2 linked regions of the Coturnix japonica genome follow. The protein of the gene in region 2 interacts with the protein of the main gene of each other region in a pairwise test. Links are inferred from orthologs where the notes say so. Each region holds a gene or a part of one and is shown on either strand. Other genes may lie near its edges.

What was found.
Region 1: the proteins of ZBTB25 (region 2) and SEPHS1 interact in binary tests that used the Homo sapiens proteins (3 or more experiments, as listed by UniProt). The two-hybrid records come from large-scale screens. The link is inferred for Coturnix japonica from reciprocal best matches to the Homo sapiens genes ZBTB25 and SEPHS1.

The regions. Positions count from the first base shown.
Region 1 is NC_029516.1:6,032,899-6,036,398, forward strand, and holds part of SEPHS1 (selenide, water dikinase 1), read right to left. Parts: intron 3,477-3,500; coding exon 3,369-3,476; intron 2,530-3,368; coding exon 2,375-2,529; intron 1,578-2,374; coding exon 1,487-1,577; intron 1-1,486. UniProt on the Homo sapiens protein: Synthesizes selenophosphate from selenide and ATP.
Region 2 is NC_029520.1:48,118,073-48,122,304, forward strand, and holds the start of ZBTB25 (zinc finger and BTB domain-containing protein 25), read left to right. Parts: upstream 1-1,432; 5' UTR 1,433-1,529; intron 1,530-1,939; 5' UTR 1,940-1,946; coding exon 1,947-2,119; intron 2,120-3,591; coding exon 3,592-4,232. UniProt on the Homo sapiens protein: May be involved in transcriptional regulation.

The sequences.
Region 1 (3,500 bases), on a different chromosome or scaffold from region 2:
CACCTACCTGTGTGACATGGTGTAGGGAGCCTGTTTTGGCAGGGGGGTTGGACTCGATGATCTCTAGAGGTCCCTTCCAACCGCTACAATTCTGTGATTCTATCTCCAAACGTTATTTTCCCTTCTTGGCCTGGGCATAAGCTTGCAGTACTACGTACCCTCTCTAACATACTTTTCAATACGAAGTCAAATTCCGTTCTGAAGCTTGATTTACAGGTGAGTTTGAGATGGGTAAGTCTAGTTTTATTTTCTTTACTCTTTCACAAGACAAAGCCAAAGAAAGGGCAGCAACGATACTCAGAAATTTTTCACTACAACAAAGATATATGCTGTTTACTGTAATAAGAGAATTGATTTCCTTCTGTCCCCATTTTTCAGACCAGAAAGTGCTTCTGGTTGACAGTCAAGGAAATTACAAGTACTTGAAATATGTGGAAATTCAGAGTATTGTTAATTTGCAAGTCTGTTTGTCAGTAAAATAACAGATATGTAAAGGAGTGAGATTATGGCCAGAAAACAGGCTATAAAACATGTGTCTTGCTTCATTTGATTTTCCTATCAAGATTATCTGAGGCCTTGATGCTTGTGTCTGACTGGAAAATGTAGGATTTTGCAGAGGCCAAGAAGTCAGGGCCGCACCCTGTGTATTTTAGGGGAAACATTATTTATCTGGTTGCTCACACTTCAGATTCCAGCGAAGGGTGAAGCTGGTTCTCTCCCACTTTTGCTCACACAGGCTTTGGAATTAAAATTCAGGCTAAACTGATTTCAGCTCACTCCTCTGCCTGTCTATTGGCTCAGCAGTCCCAAAAGCAGAAAAGATGCATCTTTTAAAAACATAAACTGAGCAGCTATAATTCGGAAGACATACACTGGGAGCCAGACAACATAAGCAGATGCCAATTTTGCAGTCACATTTCAGTTCAATAGTTACATTTTTGCCTGAAGTAACAGATGGAAATATGTCTGCATACATAACGCAGCTAGTATTACTCCTACTGAATGCACAGGATAATACATGTGAAAGGTGGAGATATTTCCACGTACAGAAGCAGAAAGTCTATGAACCCAGACAGCAGTCTTGGCCTAACTGACATCAATCAGCTTTTGCCAACTACTTTGGCATGTGGAATAGGGCATAATTTTACCCAGGGTGCTAATCTGTTGTACTGTTAGTCACTGACTCTGTTTGTTACAGCAATGCCAGAGAACTAGCTAAGAATTAGACCCAATTAAGATCACTAAACACAAAACGCTAAGCTGTCTCGGTTCCAAAAGAGTTTTGCACGTAAGAAGATAAGGCTGACATAACAAGGAGGAAGAAGAGGAATTAATTTCTATACGATTCCTGGCTGAGCACTCAATATACTTTTCAGTGTGAAGAGTATACGCTGCAGCTTTTCCTTCTGAGGTTTTGAGGGAATGGGGAAGGTCACCTTTACCTCCTGCCTCTTTCCCTTAATTTTGGTTTTGGCAGTGTACTCACAATATCCAGCCACTGGTGGACGGCTACAGCCACTTGTGTTCCCAAGGGTTTAGTTAATACAAGCACATCTCCTGGCACTGCATTGTCTGGCCTGAAAGCAAAGAATTCATATATTAATTACAGAGCGAGAGTCACATGTTATTAGGAATAAGTGCTGATAATTAGATTTTCACAGACCCATGTATCTTATTGTGCAGATTAAAAAAAGACTAATAGCTGAATTACCCTTTGGGATTCATTGCCAAGGGGTATCACTGAGCAAAAGCGCTGTAAACTTACTTAAAAGTACGAATCCTTTCTTGGAATAGAACAACATTTGCAATCAGACAAACAGAAAATTGCACCCTTTCTTTCAATCTACTGAAGATATAGAATAGAATAATGGAGAGAAACAAAACCACCCAAACTATTTTGCTTACTCAGGATATAAAATAAGCATCACTAGGATCACAAATTCCTTCATACAGTGTGGCATGCCACAGTGGAACATTCAAGATCAGCTACAGTTAATCAGCCAGAATGAGTAAACACAGCAATTCTCCATTTCTCTACAGCAATTAGCAGGTTAATTGGGAGGTATTGCATTTTAAACTCTGACAGAAATTTGTATCCCACAACTATCTTGAAAACGTGTAAAGGTTAGAAGCTTAACTGTCCTGTCTAAAGGAGAAGAGCAAAAGATATCAGGAGAAAAGTAAAAGCACATGCTGTTTTAAAAAGCAAAGAATGGACAGAAGAGATGTGGCAACTGCTCTGTGCTAAGGACAAATGCAAACAGGAGAAGGCACTGCTTTACTCATCAGAAGACAGATCACAACACGGTATTTAAAGGACTTTTACTGTATCCCGTCAGACCAATGCCTTTGATTGTCGAGTGATTTAACTTACATTATAAATTCATTAGGCTGACAGACTGTTGTGGCCACTCCTCCTAAAACAATCCAGGGATTTAACACTGTTTGACCACCAGTAACTGATGTTCCTGCCTCTTCTGCTGCGTCTTTGAAACCCTGGATTATTAGAGGTATCACTTTGTCTCTTTCCTAGAGATCAAAACAGAAGTCAGAGTTCCATCCACAGCAGTGCTAGTCATTTCAAGACAGGGTTATGGCTTTAATCACTCAAGTCAAATTCCCTCATGGCAAAAAGCTAATGACAGTCAGCCTGCAGAAACCACGTTATCCCATAAAGCTATGGCTTTACAGTTCCTTGTAAAATGCTGAAGAAACATTCTCCGAAAGGTCACATATAAAAGTAGAAAATTCAGAGAGTTCTGCAAACTCAGAACAACTATTCTGCTATTGTAATCAAGTACAGCCAGAAGCACAGTGCAATAAGGCAAAGTTAAATCAAGCTGAGTTCGGCCTCCACTAAACCTGTACCATTTCAACTAAGTTTCTTTTAAGAATGAACAAACCTTTTTTTTGCTAGAGAAAACAATCATACGTGCTGGTAAATTCCATCAAAAAGAAAAAAAAATAATTAAGAAAAAAGAACCTAGTTCAATTTCCTCTGCTTCAAAGAGATGCAACAAAGCTGGCATGAGGAAACCAAAAGTATCTATCCGAATTAATACATCAATTGCTAATCAAATCCTGCTTCAAAGCACAGTAAACAGGAGCAGAGACTCCATTTTTGTGGGGATCACAAAACAGAAGCAAATTATGATGCCACAGAAGACTGAAGATTTAGTGAATAATCTCACAGAGTTTATGAGGCAAGACTTGCACTATGAACTGAGGAACTGACTGAGCCATCTCTTCTTTAAAAAGACTCAAAATTTGAGGAGAAAATACACTAAAGCTGCATATGTTCTAAGTATGTATAGAGTACGTATAGTTGTTTGGGACCTTACTTCAGAAGCAAGTACCCCAAATCTTACCCTGTCTGTCATTTTATTGCTGACTCCGAGGAGCATCAACATGTTGTCACATTCTGTGACCCCCATGGCATAAAGGTCACTTAAGACATTGGCACATGCTATCCGTCCCTGAAAAAGAAAGAAGAAAGAAAG
Region 2 (4,232 bases):
CCGTTTCCAGAGGTGCCATCACTTCTGTGTTGGTACCCAAGGAACTATCAAATCATTACTGTTGCAATGAGCCCAGAAGGTGATGCTGTCCAAGGCTGCTCAGCTCCAGGTGGGCGATGGCAGCAGAAGATTTGATTACAGATTTGAAAACACCACAAGCTACAAATGTAGCAACCAAGTGCACGTGTACATAGAAACAACCCTCCCTAACAGCCACTTCATTGACATTCACCCCTGTTCTGATAGCCACGATGACGCCATCACAGCAGTTATGACATCACAATAGCTATGATGACATCACAATAGCTATGATGACATCACAATAACTATGATGGCATCACAATAGCTATGGTGACATCACAATAGCCATGATGACATCACAATAGCTATGGTGACATCACAATAGCCGTGATGACATCACAATAGCTATGACAACATCCCGCTGTGGGCTGTAGCACTTTGTACCCCTGAAGCCCTGTGAAACCATTGACTGCTCTTATAGTAAAATCTCATTCCTCATCACTGCTCCCATCGTTTTGGCTCTGGTTTCTCTGGAGCTTTTCAAAGCCATCTTTGGGCCAGGGTCAACCTAGATAACATGTAAATAATTAATCGTTTAAATAAATAACCTGCTGTCTGCAAACAGCCCCTCACTCGGTACCTGGGTTAATAAATATGTCACATAACACAGGAGCGGAGCACGGAACCTTGAGCTCCTATTGCCGGCCTTTGGGGGAAGAACAGTAGCAAGTGGTACTGCAAGTATGACAGTAGTATGGTACTGATAGGGGCAGTGGGATTGGAGCACCATTAAACTGCAGCCCCGCTACTATGTGGGAAGATGGCCCCGAGCGCAGGGAGCTTTGTGTGTAAATAGGAGAAATAAGGCAGGGAATGCTGGAAAAAGGAATGTTTGTGGGCACAGTGGGATGAGCAGTGAGCGCTGCATGGAGCATTCACCCTCCTGCAGGCACCTCTGGAAGCAGTCCCGTGTCTGCTGCTATTGGGGCAGCGTTTGCCCTAAAGGCTTCAGATTTGGCCCAATTAAAAATCACCATTCCAACGAGCAGCGAAACATCAAAGGCTCAGGGAAAACAAAATATGATCTGCAAAACACGACAGACACCACGGAGGGGTGAAGCTGCATGAAACCCACGTGGAGAAAGCACAGCAGCGGTGATTCCCACTGCCATTTTCGGTATTAAAGATACGAAACTCAATCCCTTGGGCACCACATCAACCAGGGGTAGCGGCCCCTCCATCACGCGGGGCGAGGGGCTGAAGTTCTGCGCGGTGTTTGCGCCCTCGCCGCATAGACGGAGGCTCAGCGCCTCGCCGCGCAGCAACCGCGCAACCCCCGCGCAACCGCCTCTCTCAGTTTTTCCGCGCGTGGGCCACCCTGCACGGCACGGAACAGCTCGGCACAGCCCAGCCCGGCGGCAGGAAGCGCGGGGGGAGCTGCGCCCACCCCATCCGCCTCGCAGGGAGCGGGCGGAGCCGCGCAGGGTCGGGGCAGCGCTTCCGCGGGGGTAAGCGGTGCGGGGCGCGGGGTGCGGGGAGCGGCTCCTCCCGGCCCTCGTGCCCCGGCTGTGATATTTGGGGGGGGTTGGAAACAATAGCGTGTATTTGCAGAAGGGGCCGTTGGGTGCGGGGCGGCTCGGCGCTGCACAGCGAGGGCTTTGTGGGGCGGCACACGCTGCCCTCTGTGCGCTTCCCCGCTCCGGGTGCGGTTTGCGCTGAGCGGCGGCGCTCGGACACGTTGTTAAAGTTGGCACCTGCGCGGCACTTGGTGCTGTGGTTTCGTTGTGCGTTGGAGCAGGGAGCAGATCTGAGCGGGGGTCACAGGGGGGAATCATTGAAGCTGGGGAGGAGGCTCTGGGGCTGTGCTCTGTGCTTGACGGGACTTTGTGCTGGGACAAACCTTCTGTCCTCCTCCCAGACGTGCCATGGACATGGCCGGCCACAGCCTGCTCCTGCTCCAGCAGCTGAACATGCAGCGGGAGTTCGGCTTCCTGTGCGACTGCACAGTTGCCATTGGAGATGTTTACTTCAAAGCCCACAGAGCGGTGCTCGCTGCTTTCTCAAACTATTTTAAGATGATATTTATCCATCAGACAAGGTAAGGATGCGCAGCTCTCTCTCTATCTCCTTACTGCTCTCCTCGGCTTGCTGCTTTTTCCTCTTTCTAAAGGAGTTGCAATCTCAAAGAGCACAAGTGGGGATGTTATGTGGCCTGAGATGTTTTCCTAACCTGGCCTGCATCTCAGTTCCTGCACAGCCTGCCCAGCACCGGCGCTGCCATGGCCTCAGGAACTGCTCCAGGACAAAGCCGATCCCATGGGGCTCAGGCAGTTTTCTGGCTCAGCTGGATCTCTCCTGACAGGATCTGTGGGCTCGAGGCAGTCATGGAGCCATGGCCTTATCTTTTTGCTGCACTTCAGTGTCTGCAGATAAGGGCCAGGACTGTGAGCATCCACTTATTCCAGTCTCCTATCTGGATGCTTCACCTGACCGTACCCAGGGCAGTTCTGCAGGTATAGGGAAGTTGGCTCTGAGCCCTAACCTCGCCTCTGAACTGCAGCGATGGATTAAGCCCTTCTGTGTTCCCCCTGCTGCCCATGGCAGTGAGCTCCTGGCCTCCAGCACCACCACAGGGAAGTCATCACAGGGTTGGAAGGGAACTCTGGAGATCCCCCAGCCCAGCCCCCTGCTAAAGCAGTTCTTGACAGTAGGTTGAAGAGGAAGGCATCCGGGAAGGCTTTGAATATCTGCAGAGAAGGTGACTGCATCGCCTCTCTGGGCAGCCTGTTCCTCATGTTCAAATGGAACTAACAGTTTGTGAGCGTTGCCCCTTGTCCTGTCACTGGGCACCACCAAAAAGAGCCTGGCCCCATCCACTTGACTCCTGCCCTTTAGATATTTATAAGCATTGATAAGATCCCCTCTCAGTCTTCTCTTCTCCAGGCTGAACAGTCCCAGAGCTCTCAGCCCTTCCCACAGGGGCAATGCTGCAGGCCCCAATCCTCCCTTTGCTTGGAAGTGAGAGACAAGTGAACTTCAATAGCAATAGGAGTTGTTTGCTGACACTTAGGTGCAAAGCTCGTAAAGATTACATGGCAGCAGCAGCTGGATTTATTACCTGAGTGCATAAACACTCTGTGCCTCCTGAGGGTGGCACACATGGCCAGGAGCCATCACAGGTGGGGCAGACGAAGGCTGGCAGTGCCCACAGTCCTTCACCACAGCTCTGTGCACTGTCATTGCGATCACCCAGATACACAGAATCATTTGAGTTGGAAGAGACCCTTAAAAGCCATCTTGTCCAACTCCCCTGCAATGAACAGGGACGCCTACAGCTCCATTAGGTGCTCAGAGCCCCATCCATACACAAACACACGCTGAGCACTGCTGTGCACAGAAGGCAGCCATGCTCCTTCAGGCCTTGGCAAGGAGCACTGTCCGTCATGGACCTGCAGCCAGGCGGCAGCGCCTATGTTCTGCAAGCCAATGACGGTGCAGATGAATGGGCAGATAATGGGTCAGGGCTGTAATTTGGAGTCAACGATGTGCTTAATCATCTTCTTGTTTCAGTGAGTGCATAAAGATTCAGCCCGCAGACATCCAGCCGGACATTTTCAGCTACCTCCTGCACATCATGTACACTGGGAAGGGCCCAAAGCAGGCAGTCAGCCAGAGCCGGCTGGAGGAAGGCATCCGCTTCTTGCACGCCGACCACCTTTCCCACCTCGCTGTCGAGATGAACCAGGCCTTTCCCTCCGAGGCCGTGCAGTCCTCAAACCTCTATGGGATCCAGATCTCCACAGCGCACAAAGCAGCAAAGGAACGGCCGGGCGCCAAGGAGACGCTGGGCAGTGCGGGGGGCCGACCTTCTGCCCCAGCTGAGCACCCACAGCTGCAGCTCTCCCTTGCCATCGGCCTGGACGACAGCAGCCGCGAGCAGCCCGGCACACACCCCACAGCCCAGCCCGCAGTGCTGGCCAGGCCGGCGGAGGAGTTGCCGAAGCTTTCAGTCTCCATCAAGCAGGAGAAGTGCGAGGCTGAGCCTGTGGTGTCCCAGAGCTGTAGCCCTCCTTCCCCAGACAGAGCAAACCCCATCCTTGCCAAGGCCAACCTCAGGGTGCACCTGTGTCACTACTGTGGGGAGCGCTTTGACTCGCGGGCTGGGCTGCGGGAGCACCTGCACACCCATGTTTCAGGCTCACTGCCCTTTG